2 linked regions of the Sus scrofa genome follow. The protein of the gene in region 1 binds, or shares a complex with, the protein of each later gene. Links are inferred from orthologs where the notes say so. Each region holds a gene or a part of one and is shown on either strand. Other genes may lie near its edges. The genes, in order: MFSD1 and GLMP.

What was found.
Region 2: the proteins of MFSD1 (region 1) and GLMP are in contact, whole or in part, in a cryo-EM structure (PDB 8R8Q), measured with the Mus musculus proteins. The link is inferred for Sus scrofa from reciprocal best matches to the Homo sapiens genes MFSD1 and GLMP. Residues at the interface, in NP_080089.1 of Mus musculus: Val288, Glu292, Lys293, Arg295, Phe349, Phe351, Leu411, Asp412, Lys414, Gly415, Tyr416, Leu417, Leu418, Val421, Ile424, Ser428, Leu432, Val435, Leu439; in NP_064387.1 of Mus musculus: Glu250, Asn252, Ser253, Ile254, Asp255, Asp256, Glu257, Pro260, Ala261, Phe263, Gln264, Arg292, Phe364, Leu367, Val368, Ile371, Met372, Ala375, Ala378, Leu381, Met382, Gly385, Phe389.

Annotation. Positions count from the first base shown.
Region 1 is NC_010455.5:98,597,356-98,603,781, forward strand, and holds part of MFSD1 (major facilitator superfamily domain-containing protein 1), read left to right. Parts: intron 1-115; coding exon 116-183; intron 184-2,120; coding exon 2,121-2,229; intron 2,230-6,177; coding exon 6,178-6,280; intron 6,281-6,426. UniProt on the Homo sapiens protein: Lysosomal dipeptide uniporter that selectively exports lysine, arginine or histidine-containing dipeptides with a net positive charge from the lysosome lumen into the cytosol.
Region 2 is NC_010446.5:93,755,875-93,762,916, forward strand, and holds the start of GLMP (glycosylated lysosomal membrane protein), read left to right. Parts: upstream 1-3,064; 5' UTR 3,065-3,107; coding exon 3,108-3,227; intron 3,228-3,719; coding exon 3,720-3,977; intron 3,978-4,171; coding exon 4,172-4,372; intron 4,373-4,493; coding exon 4,494-4,712; intron 4,713-5,162; coding exon 5,163-5,419; intron 5,420-5,532; coding exon 5,533-5,698; 3' UTR 5,699-7,042. UniProt on the Homo sapiens protein: Required to protect lysosomal transporter MFSD1 from lysosomal proteolysis and for MFSD1 lysosomal localization.

The sequences.
Region 1 (6,426 bases):
TACTAAGAAAGAATATTAAAACCATTGTAGAATTTGTTTCACCCTAAGTTACTTATTTATCTTAAATTCCTTGAATTAATTTTTCATTGATTCTATGTTATATTCTGTGTTATAGGTTATTTTTGCTCTGGGTGGAATATTTAATGCTTTTTGGCTGATGGAACTTGGAAGGTTTGTGTTTGGGTAAGTTATGCATAATTTCATTTATCCTAACACATTGCTGTTTTCATGTTCATCTGTCAATTTATTAAAGATTTTAAAAAGTATATTATTGTATCCTCTGGAGAATTACTTCAAATCCTTGAAATCTGGCTATATATTTAAGACTATTTAACATTTGTCTCAATTTTCCTTTAAAGTAAGCAGTGATTTTAAGTGGTCACAGTTGACTTTGTGTAGAGTTTGGATACTAAATAGTTCTCAAAAAATAGTATTTTTCTTTGATGTTTTGCTTTTTCATTGTATTGAAGACTGTGATTTAAACCTCACTTGGAAAAGTATAGACCATCAATTTCTGGGTTTGTGAATAATGAACATTTTGCTGTTTCTTAATGAGTAATGTGCAGGTCCTTTTGAAATGCATTGAAGAGGCTTGAATAAGAAAATTACCAAAAGACTGAATGCTTTTAATCAATTTCTGTGTCAAATAAGCCCATTCTTTTCTTTTTTTTTCTCTCTCTCACTCTCTCTTTTTTTTTTACTTTTTAGGCCACACCCACAGCACATGGAGGTTCTTAGGCTAGGTGTCCAGTCAGAGCTATAGTTGTCAGCCTACACCACAGTCACTGCAACGCCAGATCTTTTTTTTTTCTTTTTTTTAAAAATTACTCAGTGAATTTATTACATTTATAGTTGTACAATGATCATCACAATCCAGTTTTATAGGATTTCCATCCCACAACCCCAACGCCTCCCTCCACCCCCCAAACTGTCTCCTTTGGAGACCATAAGGTTTTCAAAGTTTGTGAGTCAGTAAGCAATGCCAGGTATGAGCCTCTTTTGCAGCCTGCACCACAGCCCATGGCAATACCAATTCCCCAACCCACTGAGTGAGGCCCAGGATCAAACCCGCATCCTCATGGATCCGAGTTGGTTTAGTTAACTGCTGAGCCATAACGGGAACTCCAGCAAGCTCATTCTGAGTTCAGTCTTGGGCTTCCTGCCCAGAGGGATGCAGATGACATAACTTGTTTAAGCTTTTCACAGGTATGAGGGACATGTAGACATAGATGACATCCCCTCAGAATGCTCTAAATGAAGGAGAGGGAGAGAGAATGTATATGAAAATATGAAAGGGATTCAGAGATGTGTGGTCAGAAATGGCCTCATGGATGGAGCGGGCCTTTTCATCAGTTTAGGATTTGGATGAGTAGAAGAGGGTTGCGAGGCCAGTGTGATGAGGCCAGCTCAGTATAGGATGCAAAGGAGTTGAAGCTCCTAACTGAAAGTCAGTATATAGAACTTACAGAAGGAAAATAAATCTGAGGAAGTGGGAAAATGTTGAGTAAGGAAGATCTTGGCCTGAAAAGTGTGGATCTTTGTGTTTTCACAAAGTATGGGACACTCTTCCCACGTGAACATTTTATAGAGCATAGATGGTGATGTGGTAGCCCAAACTCCTTTTATTGCCAGTCATGGTTATCCTTGCAGTCTATTAAATGACTCACACTTAGCAGTATAAAACAACCATTACTTTGTGGACTTCGTGGGTCAGGAATTTGGACAGGGAACAGTATGGACAGAGTGTCTGTGCACCTGATGTCTGGAGCTTGGGCTGGGATGACTTGAAGGCTGGTACTGCTGACTGAAGCACCTGAACGTGGCCTGTCTTTGTGGCTTAGCTCTCACATCATAGTGAACTTGAGGTAGTTGGACTTCCTACAAGGTGTCTCAGGACTCTAAGTGCAAATGTTTGAGTGAGAGGGCAGATACCACCTTTTTGCAGATGTCACTTTTTATGGCCCAGCCTTGGGATCACGAAACTCCACTTCCACCATATCCTACTGGTTGAAGCAGTCACAAGCTCACCTTGATAGGAGGGGGTGTCAAAATTTTGAACTTGCTGCATTGCTAACTGTGGCATTTCTTTAAAACCTATGACTTTTCTTTGCTTATTTTAGGATTGGTGGAGAGTCCTTAGCAGTTGCCCAGAATACATATGCTGTGAGTTGGTTTAAAGGCAAAGAATTAAACTTGGTATTTGGACTCCAGCTTAGCATGGCTAGAATTGTAAGTATGACAAACATAATGAAGCCAATAGGAAGGAAAAAACTGAATCTTGTAGTTAATCCTTTAAAGATTATAGGATGAAATGTGTTTGTGTGTAACTTAGGTCTTGATTTTTTATATATTTTTCTGGGCCAGAGTATAGCACTTACCTTATTTTAGTTAAGGCATTTCTAACCTTATTTCTCTTAGGAAACAGACTAAAAAGGCTAGTTAAGCATTAATTAGTTCATCTGAGCATTTGGGAGGACCCATTTTTGGCATTCTTGCTATGAAAATCTTTGCATATGGTCATCTGGGCTCTCCTTGCATATTTCTAGTGATTAGAAGCTTGCTGTGTGTTGAGATGGCTAGTCTACTACAATTTACTTTGTGAAGCTCAGCCTCTCCTAGAGATGAAATCTGCTTGCATAAATTGCTTTTACTAATTGCTCTGACTTTTGCCCTCCAGTGAATGTTTATTTCCTTGCTGTGCACCAGCACTTTGCTTATAAAGACAACTCTGAAGGTCTTTGTCAGACATGCTCCTCCCTGTGATTGTCTAAGCCGTGTCTAAGTTCCTGAACCATGGTGCTCCCACCGCTCTGGACTTCATTGCAAGTGGCCATTACTCACCTTGGAACTTGGAAATGATCATGGCTTTTCATGACAAAGCATACCCAGCAGAACAACATTATGCTATTAATGCAACCTGGAAGGTGTTTTGGCCATCCCAAACTCTCTTAGGTTTTTTTCCCCCTTCTGAATGCCAATGGATAGAGTTTTTTTTTGTTTGTTTTTGTTTTTGTTTTTGTTTTTTAAATCCTTGCAATTAAAAATCGAGGCTCTAAGACTATAGATGGCATGAAAATGCTTGTAACATAGTTTTAAGAAAGAAACTTAGTACAAAAAGGTTTTTTTTCTCAAAAAGTTTTTAGTGTAATGTTTAATCTTATGAAATTTAGCACATATATATTCTCTGTGTGTGCGAACATTTCTATGTTTTTTGTACATGAAGGCTTTTTCTAATTTTCCGCTATTAAAATCAGTGCTGTTTTGTGACACTTTAAAACTTGTCTGTATCTCTGATTGTTTCCTGAGGCTTGGTTGCTAAGAATAGAATTATAACTGAGTCAGAGGGTTTCTTAAGATTGTTAAGACCTATTTCCACCTCATCTTCTCAGAGGTTTACATCCCCATCTGTGGGATATGAGAGTGGATCCTTTTTTATGACAGTTTTGATAGTACAGGCTATTATTAAAAAGTCATATTTAGCAAATTGATAGGAAACACCTAAATAATATTTTAATTTGTAATTCTTTGATAACTAGTGTACTGTTCCACATTTTCTAAATTTTATCCATAAGGACGTTCTGGGTACTTCATTATATATCTTGTGCAAGTCAAGATATGTCTAAGGCAGTTGGTGGGTCTCGTCTAATAACTTCCAAAAGAAGGAAATAGGAGAAGTTGAGCAAGACATTCTCAGTGACAACATTGTGGTTACTAGTGACCTTCAGGTTCTTGCCTGTGTGGTCATTAACTAGCTATAATCCATTCACCTGTGTTCTGAGGAGCCCTAGATTTGGAGAAAGGAATCTCAGGATTTTAGGTTACAGTGGTGGGGTAATGGGAATGGTGAGAGGATGTGGAATGAACCAGACCTCAGGCAACCAACCACCTCTGTGTGTCAAACAGGGCGGTGCAGCTCTGATCTGGTTGGTTCATTGAAGGTCCTTGTAAGATGCATGAGATTCTGGGGTAGGTGGAGTTTCATTCTTTTTTGTACTGCTTCTGCCCCTGAACATATTCAGAATGATGACAGAGGCTTGGGCTTTACCTTGCCAAGCTTTTATTGATGGCTGAGCTGTGGATTTGCCTGATTTTAGGCACCTGAACTGTTACCATTATCCCATCAGGCAGTGGACTTCTCACTGTTATTATTCTTCATGTTTTATCTGGGATTTGGAAGTCCAGCACCCTTCTGATTTTCCTTTGTAATTTGTTACTATAGAAAACTCATTGTTTCAATAAGTATTTGTTGAGACTTGGTAAGCCAGGTCAGGTTAGGCATTTTAGAATTAGAGCGTTATTAAGACAGCATGTCTTTGAGGGGCTTATATTTTCATTGATACTGAGAAAAGTTTCCAGTAGGTCTCCATGTATTCCTTATTGCTCGTCTAAATAATGCCGGATGGCTCACATTTTTGAGAAGTAGCCATGTGAGATTTGCTGCTGTATTTGCTGTGACAGTGTGGTCGAGGACACATTCAGTTCTCGGTCTTCAGTGTCTGATCTATCAATAGTATTTGGCGCAGTTGACACTCCACCTTCCTTGATTTCTTCTCTTGGGTTCCAGGACTCTGCAGTTTCATTGTTCTCCTCTTGCCTTTCTCTCTGCTCCATATACCTCTTTTGTTGGTTCCATCTTAATCTTCTCAGCCTGTAAAGGTGGGCTTGGTCAGTGGAAATTTTCTCTTTTCATTTGGCACTCATTTCCTCGGTAATCTTAATTACTTTTGAAACTTTACATAGACTGTCTTTGTTCCTGGAGTTAAATGGTCCAGGTGTTCCCCAGAATTCCTTACCCCTGTGTGCAGCTCCCTCCTTGCCATTTCTGCTTGGATGTCTAGAAGGCATATCAAACTCAATACAGCCAAAACTTAGCTCCTGGTAGCCTGCTCTCATCCCCTACCTAAGCCTATGCTGACGTTTTTCATCCTCAGTTATGGGCAGTTCTTTACTTCCAGTTACTCAGGCAGAGACTTTGATGTCACCCTAAACTACTCCTTACTGCTCCTGCTCCCACTCTGCATATATTTTCCATTAACAGATCCTCTTAGCTTTACCATTAGATAATACCCATATTCTGAGCACTTCTCACCATGCCCATTGCCCCCAGTCCAAGACTTACATCTCTGTTGGCTGCATTTTTGCAGTAGTCCCCAGCTGATGTCCTTGCTTCTGCTTCCTCCCCACTTGTAGTCTGTTTTGAATATAGTGGCCAGAGTGAGTCTGTTAAAACAAGGGATTGTGCCATGCCTCCACTCAAAAACCCCAGTGGCTTCCCATTTCACACAGACTAAAAGCCGATAGTTCTTATTACCTATAGCCCGCCTTTCTACCAGTTCCTTTTTGGGGACCTCATCTCATTCCCTCCCTTCTTCATTGACACTGTTCTAGTCTCTGTCCTCCTTGCCTCGAGTACACTGAGTGGCCTCCTCTCCGGCCGGTCCTCTTCCCCTGGGCCGGTTCTCTTCCCCTGGGTAGCTTCACAGCTTCCTTCAAGCTGTTAATCCACAGTCACATTTTCAGCGAGTTCTCCACCCCTTCGTATTCTCCTTCCATGCTTTATTTTTTCCCCTTGTTTTTTAAAAGAGCTTACTGCTGTTTAATAGACTACATATTTTACCTCTTTGCTATACCACTAAAAAGGGGTAGCTCTTTATGAGAGCTGGAAGCTTTTCTCTTTTGTTCCTTATTATATTCCCAGTAGCCAGAACAATGACAGGCATATAATTGGGGTTCAGTAACTGCTAAATGAAAGAATCAATGTATGAGGATATTATGTATAATTACTGTCTTCTTAAGGACTATCAGGATGAGGTTTTTTTTTTTTTTCAGGTGTCAATATCAAGAAAAGCTGTGTTTTTCTGAGCTCAGGTTTATATTTGTCTTGGGTCCCCTGTGAATTTTGTAACTTGTGTTTCATTTTTGTTTGCGATATAGGAAGTCCTAGCTGTGCTCTTTTTGAATACTAGCGTTTTCTGTAAATTGGCATTTTTGTGTAGTAATCTTTACTGTGGCTTTATCTTAGTTTGCTAGTCTTTCCCTTGTATTTAAAAAAATTTATCCGTTTAATCTGAACTTTATTATACCAATTTCTCTAAGCCATCTCACATCCTTTTTTTTTTTTTTTTTGAGTAGGACAGAGATATAAATGAAAATTACATTTTCCCCCCTTTCTTTCAGGGAAGTACAGTAAACATGAACCTCATGGGATGGCTGTATTCTAAGGTTGAAGCTTCATTGGGTTCTGCTGGTCACACAACCCTTGGGGTCACACTTCTGATCGGTTAGTGAATCCTGTGTCCCACCTTACATCTCTTCAGTTTTTTTTTTTCCTTTCTTTCTTCCTTTTCCTTTTGTTTCTCTGAAAGCTTGTTGTTGGAAGTGTTGTGGCTGAGAGGAAAGAACACCGGCATTGGGGTTAGACCACTT
Region 2 (7,042 bases), on another chromosome or scaffold:
TGAGGTTGCGGGTTCGATCCCTGCCCTTGCTCAGTGGGTTAACGATCCGGCGTTGCTGTGAGCTGTGGTGTAGGTTGCAGAAGTGGCTCGGATCCCGCGTTGCTGTGGCTCTGGCGTAGGCCGGTGGCTACAGCTCCAATTCGACCCCTAGCCTGGGAACCTCCATATGCCGCGGGAGCGGCCCAAGAAATAGCAACAATAACAACAACAACAACAACAACAAAAAAGACAAAAAAAATAATAAAATATATATATATATATATATATATATATATATATATACTTAGTGCGGAGTTCCCGTCGTGGCACAGCAGAAACAAAACCAGGAACCATGAGCTTGTGGGTTCGGTCCCTGACCTCTCTGGGTTGAGGATCCAGTGTTGCTATGAGCTGTGTAGGTTGCAGATGGGGCTCAGATCTAGCATTGCTGTGGCTGTGGTGTAGGCTGGCAGCTGTAGTTCTGATTAAACCCCTAGCCAGGGAACCTCCATATGTCACAGGTGGGGCCCTAAAGAGACAAAAAGACACACAGACGCACGCTTAGTGGAGTTCCCATCGTGGCTCAGCAGAAACGAATCTGAGTAGCATCCATGAGGACACAGATTCGATCCCTGGCCTCACTCAGTGGGTTAAGGATCCGGCGTCATGATCTGTGGTGTAGGTCGCTCTAATTTGATCCCTAGCCTGGGAACTTCCATGTGCCCTGGGTTCTGCCCAAAAAAGACAGACACACACCCAAAATATACTTAGAGTGGAGAAAAAATAATAGGTGTAATGTCAGAAGATTTACGTGGCAAAAAGATAAAAGGAAGATGTTTGTAACAACACAAAAATTGATTTCCTTGAACTTTTAGGACTTCGCAGTTAAGAAGATAGGGCCTCAGAAAAATAGCTTCAGAGAAACGAAAATAAATGACTAAAGGAGTTCTCTCATTGTGGTGCAGCAAAAATAAGTCTGACCAGTATCCATGAGGATGCGAGTTTGATCCCTGACCTCACTCAGTGGGTTTAAGGATTGCCAGATCTGTGGTGTAGCCATACCTTTCTGTGGTGTAGGTTGGAAATGAGGCTCAAGTCCTGCATTGCTATGGCTCTGGCGTAGGCCAGTAGCTGCAGCTCAGATTCAACCTCTAGCCTGGGAACTTACGCATGCCGCTAGTGCTGCCCTAAAAAAGAGACTAAAACATAAAATGTTTAACCTTACAGGGAAATGAGTTTTTAGAAAGCACTTACTTTCCAGGATGTGGGGGATATGGACCCTCAAACATGGTGTGAGTATTAATTGATGAACCCCATAGAGGGCAATTTGAGCAATTCTACTCCTGGGTACTTAACCTATAGATTTGGTTGCAAATATGTATGAAATGCTGTTCATAAAAATACATTCCTTCCAGTGTTCTTTGCCACAAGAAAGTGTTGCAAACTATCAAGGCTCTGGCTAAATATATTCAGGGAACATTTTCCCCTGCAATGAAAGACTGGAGAATAAGGCAGCTCCAAGTGCATTGATACAGAGCAATCCTCAATATATAAGTGAAAGAGCAAACTGCAGAACAGTACTTGGATTCCAGGATACATAGTATATGTGTATACATATATGTATGTAGTATGCAATAGATATATATGCTTGAGCATTGCATAGAATGTTTTTAGGAAGGATACATAAGCTGGTAATAGCGGTTGTCTCAAGGAAGGACCCAGGTTGCAGAGGAGAAGGGGTGATAATCCTTTGGTACCTTACGAATATTATACCATGTGCATTTATTTTTAGTCAAATAATTTTAGGATTAGGCTAAAAAAAAAAACCCAAATCAAAAAGTGCATTCAGTGGAGTTCCCGTCGTGGCGCAGTGGTTAACGAATCCGACTAGGAACCATGAGGTTGTGGGTTCGATCCCTGCCCTTGCTCAGTGGGTTAACGATCCGGCGTTGCTGTGAGCTGTGGTGTAGGTTGCAGACGTGGCTCGGATCCCGCGTTGGTGTGGCTCTGGCGTAGGCCAGTGGCTACAGCTCCGATTCAACCCCTAGCCTGGGAACCTCCATATGCCGCGGGAGCGGCCCAAGAAGTAGCAACAATAACAACAACAACAACAACAAAAAGGCAAAAGACAAAAAAAAAAAAAAAAAGTGCATTCAGGAGTTCCCATCGTGGCGCAGTGGTTAACGAATCTGACTAGGAACCATGAGGTTGCGGGTTCGATCCCTGCCCCTGCTCAGTGGGTTAACAATCCGACTGTGAGCTGTGGTGTAGGTTGCAGACTCAGCTTGGATCCTGCGCTGCTGTGGCTCTGGCATAGGCCGGCAGCTACAGCTCTGATTTGACCCCTAGCCTGGGAACCTCCCATATGCCGCTGGAGTGGCCCAAGAAATGGCAAAAAGACAAAAAAAAAAAAAAGCATTTGTTTAGCCAGACATCAACTCCCTTTGAAAAATACTGCTTTCATTTTCTATTTTCTGAAGTTTCTTTTCTCAACCATAAAATTGTGAGCTCTTCCAGACAAGAATGTGCATACCTGGAAACTCAGTAAATAGTAATAATTGACAAAAAGTTCCCTCTGAGGTGTGCTATCCCCTGCCCCCACCGCCCCACATTCCTTCAAATTTCCTCTGTGCCTTCCCTGCCTCAGAGTCGTTTTGCAGATTCCATTTGAATCTTGAATCCAGACAACATGCCCACTTACAGCTTAGTTTAGTGGGACAGTTGGGTAGGAGAGGTTGGGAATATTTGGGAATATGTCTGCCAATCTAGGCCAGGATGACTTGCTTGCCAGCTCAGTTGGGGATGATGAACAATGCTTAACTTTTTTTTTTTTTTCCCTTTTTTGCCACACGGTCAGTGTGCGGAAATTCCTGGGCCAGGGATCGAACCTACGCCGCACAGCAGCAACCAGAGCCACAGCAGTGAGAACATAGGATTCTCAACGCGCTAGGCCATCAGAGAACTCTCCGCTTAACCTTTCTGATTCTATTCTCACGCAAGCCTAAATCTGAGTTAAGGGAGGCGGTCTCTTTAAGAACTGCTGTGATGGCCCCGCCCTTTAAAGAGATCAGCTGAATCTCTGAGTCATATGACCCAGCGTCTCTTCCGCCCTCTGAAGTTAGAACTGCATGGGTAGCTGTGAGGAGCCCTGCCGGGGTTGGGGGCACTATGTCCCCAGCCCCGTGCTCCTCCTGAGTCTACTTCTGACAGCAGCTCCTTTTGGCCTGCTGGGGGAGGAAACCCGCCAGGTGAGGGACTAGAGCAATCCTGTTTCAGGATGTGCTGCCTTGAAGGGTGGTTGGAATCTAGGATAACCGAGAGGTGGGGGTGGAGGGTGCTTGCATTGAGAAGAGTTTCTTCAACCCTGGGGGTGGGGACAGCCATGGATCATGGGACAGAATTGAGAAGTAGGATGTATGAGGGCTTCCTGTCTTCCCGGGAAATCTGAACTCTGACTTAGCCCTGAGTAAGCCAGATCCAGGCAAGTATTGGATTTTTTTTTTTTTTTTCTTCTCTCAGCCCTGTGTCCTTATCTCTCCACTAGAGTCAAGGCCGTTTTCTCTACCCACCTCTCCTTACAGCAGGAATCTCTTAGCTCCCACAAGCATTGCTCTTGCCTAGGCCCCAAGGTCCCACCGTTTCCCCATCATTTCCCAAGCCCCCTTCCCTGTCCCCAAACATCTGCCCTGTGTCTCTCCCTGATCCTGTTCCCTTGACCCTCCCACTACTCCATGTTCTAGGTGTCTCTGGAGGTCATCTCTGACGGGCTGGACCCTCCCCAGAACCTGCTTCATATCCATGCAGTGGGTACCAACTCCACACTGCACTATGTGTGGAGCAGCCTAGGGCCCCCAGCAGTGCTACTAGTGGCCACCAATACCCCCCACAGCACCCTGCGTGTGAACTGGAGCCTCCTGATCTCCTCTGACCCTGAAGGGAGCTTGATGGTGCTCCCCAAAGACAGCATCCAATTTTCTTCTGCCGTTGTCTTTACCAGGGTGAGGAGGTTGGGGGAAACCGAAGGGAATCAGTACAGAGGAGAGACTTCATTTGAGTTAGAGAAACTGAAGACTGGGGGTAGATGAAATAGAGGTATGAGAGCCGGGGGTGGGGGGCAGTGACTTGGGGGGTGGTGACTCAGGAGAAACCTGGACTCTGGCAAGCCCAGTCCCTCCTCACCCCCACCCGCCAGCTGTTTGAATTTGACAGCACCAACACATCCGATGCAGTGACAAAGCCTCCAAGAAAATCGTATCCTCCGTATTCCTTGGCTGAGTTCTCTTGGAACAACATCACTGATTCATTGGATCCTGCCACCCTGAGTGCCACATTTCGAGGCCACCCCATTCACGACCCTACCGGGGCTTTTGCCAATGGCAGCTTGGCCCTCAGGGTAAGGGTATGGGGAATCAGAACTCAAAAGGCTGGTTGATAAGGGTGGGAGTTGATGAGGGTCGCCTTCAAACACAGGTATCTGCCTGCTTCCCACGCCTCCCATGCCTCTTCCATCCTAGGTGCAGGCATTCTCCAAATCTGGCCGACCAGCACAACCCCCTCGCCTCCTGCACACAGCGGACACCTGCCAGCTAGAGGTGGCTCTGGTTGGGGCCACTCCCCGGGGAAACCGCTCCCTGTTTGGGCTGGAGGTAGCCACCTTGAGCCAGGGCCCTGACTGCCCCTCAGTGCAGGAGCAGCGCTCCATCGATGATGAATATGCACCCGCTGTCTTCCAGGTCAGGCTTCCTGCAGAGAGGTGGATGGGTGGGAGGCAAAGAGGGATCCAGTTAGGACCTCAGAGAATCATTCAACCATTTGCACTTAGCAACACTATTCAGTTCCTTGAAGTACTGGGCACTGTGGTAATGAATTTAGTCCAGTCTCTGCCCTCAGCAGAGAGGCCAGTCAGAAGGTGGTACAGTGTGACTAGTGCTCTGAAAGGTGGGATCTGCAAGGGCCTCGGGTCCCAGAGGAGAGAGCTTGTTGAGGGTTGAGGCTGGAAGAGGACTCAGTGCCATCCAGTCCAGCTCCCTTTTCTACAGGGGAGAGATTGGTGCAAACAGCCTGGGAATCCTAGAACCAGACCTAGGACTCAGGACAACTTGATGACATGGAGGCTGGGAAGGGGTAGCGGAACAGAAGGGTCAGACACCAACCTCACCCTGCCTATTTGCCTTTCTCCCCAGTTGGACCAGCTGCTGTGGGGCTCCCTCCCATCAGGCTTCGTGCAGTGGCGACCAGTGGCTTTCTCCCAGAAGCAGGGGAGCCGGGATTCAGCCATGCCCTGCCAAGCTTCCCCTCTTTACCCCACCTTGGCATACCTTCTCCCCCAGTCACCTATTGTTCGAGCCTTCTTTGGGTCCCAGAACAACTTCTGTGCCTTCAATCTAACATTTGGAGCTTCCACAGGCCCTGGCTACTGGGACCAACACTACCTCAGCTGGTGAGAGTCTGGGCCTGGGCCAAGGGTTTGGGAGGCTGAAGTGGAGGAGAGCTGGGCCTCCAGCCTTCCCTCCTAAGCCTGCTTACCTCTCCTTCTCACTCTGCTTGCTCTAGGTCCATGCTCCTGGGTGTGGGCTCCCCTCCGGTGGATGCCTTGTCCCCGCTAGTCCTGGGCATCATGGCAGTGGCCCTGGGTGCACCAGGGCTCATGCTGCTGGCAGGAGGCCTGTTTGTAATGCTGGGCCACAAGCGGCACTCAGAATACCAGTCCATAAATTGAGGCCTGCTCTCTAGAGGGAAGGACATTACTGGACCTGCCTTGTAGTCTGCAAGTTTGAGGTCTGTATTCCCAGCCAGCTGCTCCCTTTTCAGCTGCTCTTGCTTTCCTGCAGAACCTCAGAGACCAGCCTCAACTTCCTATGGACCCAGGTGGGGCATCCTTCAAACTCTGAGGAGGGGCCAGGGACAGAGTGATTGCTAGAGGGAGGGTCCCCTTGGTGTTGCCTCCCCACCCTGCCACCCCCCATTTCCCTGGAATGGGACTCACAGGCCTAGATGAGAGGCCTTCTGACTCTTTGCTGCCCTGGAGAGTATGAAATAGATGAATTTTTTCCACAGGGCTTATCTCTCAGTGTGTGAGTGCTGTTGGGCTGGTTTGGGGCTAGTTCCAGGGAATGAGAGGGCTAGGAGATGGGCGTGGAAGGCAAGTTCTTATTTGTGGCCCCATTTCCTCACCAGGCCTAGTCCTCACCCCTGCCACAGGACCAGGCTCCAGCCAGCCACTCTGCAGCATGTGGAGCTGGGAGGTTTCTGGTGCAGCCTGAGTCACACAAGGAAGTGACACTTGAGACTGGGGGGCAAACATGAAGAAAGAGTCAAGGAAGGCGGTGGTAGTCGTTTATTGTTATACACACATTCACACGGGGTTAACGTCAGCCATTATGCCTTCCATCCGCTCCCCAGCCACCAAATGTTTGGGTGCAGGCACACACACACACACACATTCTGGGACGGAGATTTCTCTGTCCACTCCTCTTCCCATGGAGAGGCATGACTTCTGGACAGTTTGGAGGTGTGAGGTTACAGGGACTTAAATGGTTGGAAGGGAGGAGGCAGCCACTCTGGGCTGGAGCAGCTGTAATCGATTTGACTGAGGCTAAGGGCCTGGGAAGGCCGGTTGTGGAAGGTCCTGAACCCAGTCCTCCAGGGAGATTTTCACCAAACATGAAAATCCTATTCGATCTGATGCCCAGTCTTTACCTTGAGGCATGGGCAATATTTCCAGTCTCCTTGAGGCACTTGGCTCAGACAACTGGCACAGAAATGGTTGAAGTTTTGGCTGTGGCTCTACTGGCTGCCTTAGAGGAGGCTGGACAGTGGAGAAGAGTCCAGCCATGGCAGGCCCTAGTGGCAGTGGTGGGAGGCTGCTCAGGAAGGGACTGTGTCTCTGCTCCTGGGCCTGGGCCTGGGCCTGTGCCCTCAGCATCCTTAAGGAACATGGCTGTCCACCTCTTTCCCTGCAAGAATGTCTGAGTCCCTACCTCATAATTATCCCAGGCTCCAAAGATGAAAGGCAGCACCCCAACTCTGGGAGAGCAGGGGACAGTCCTCGCTCTGCTCCCCC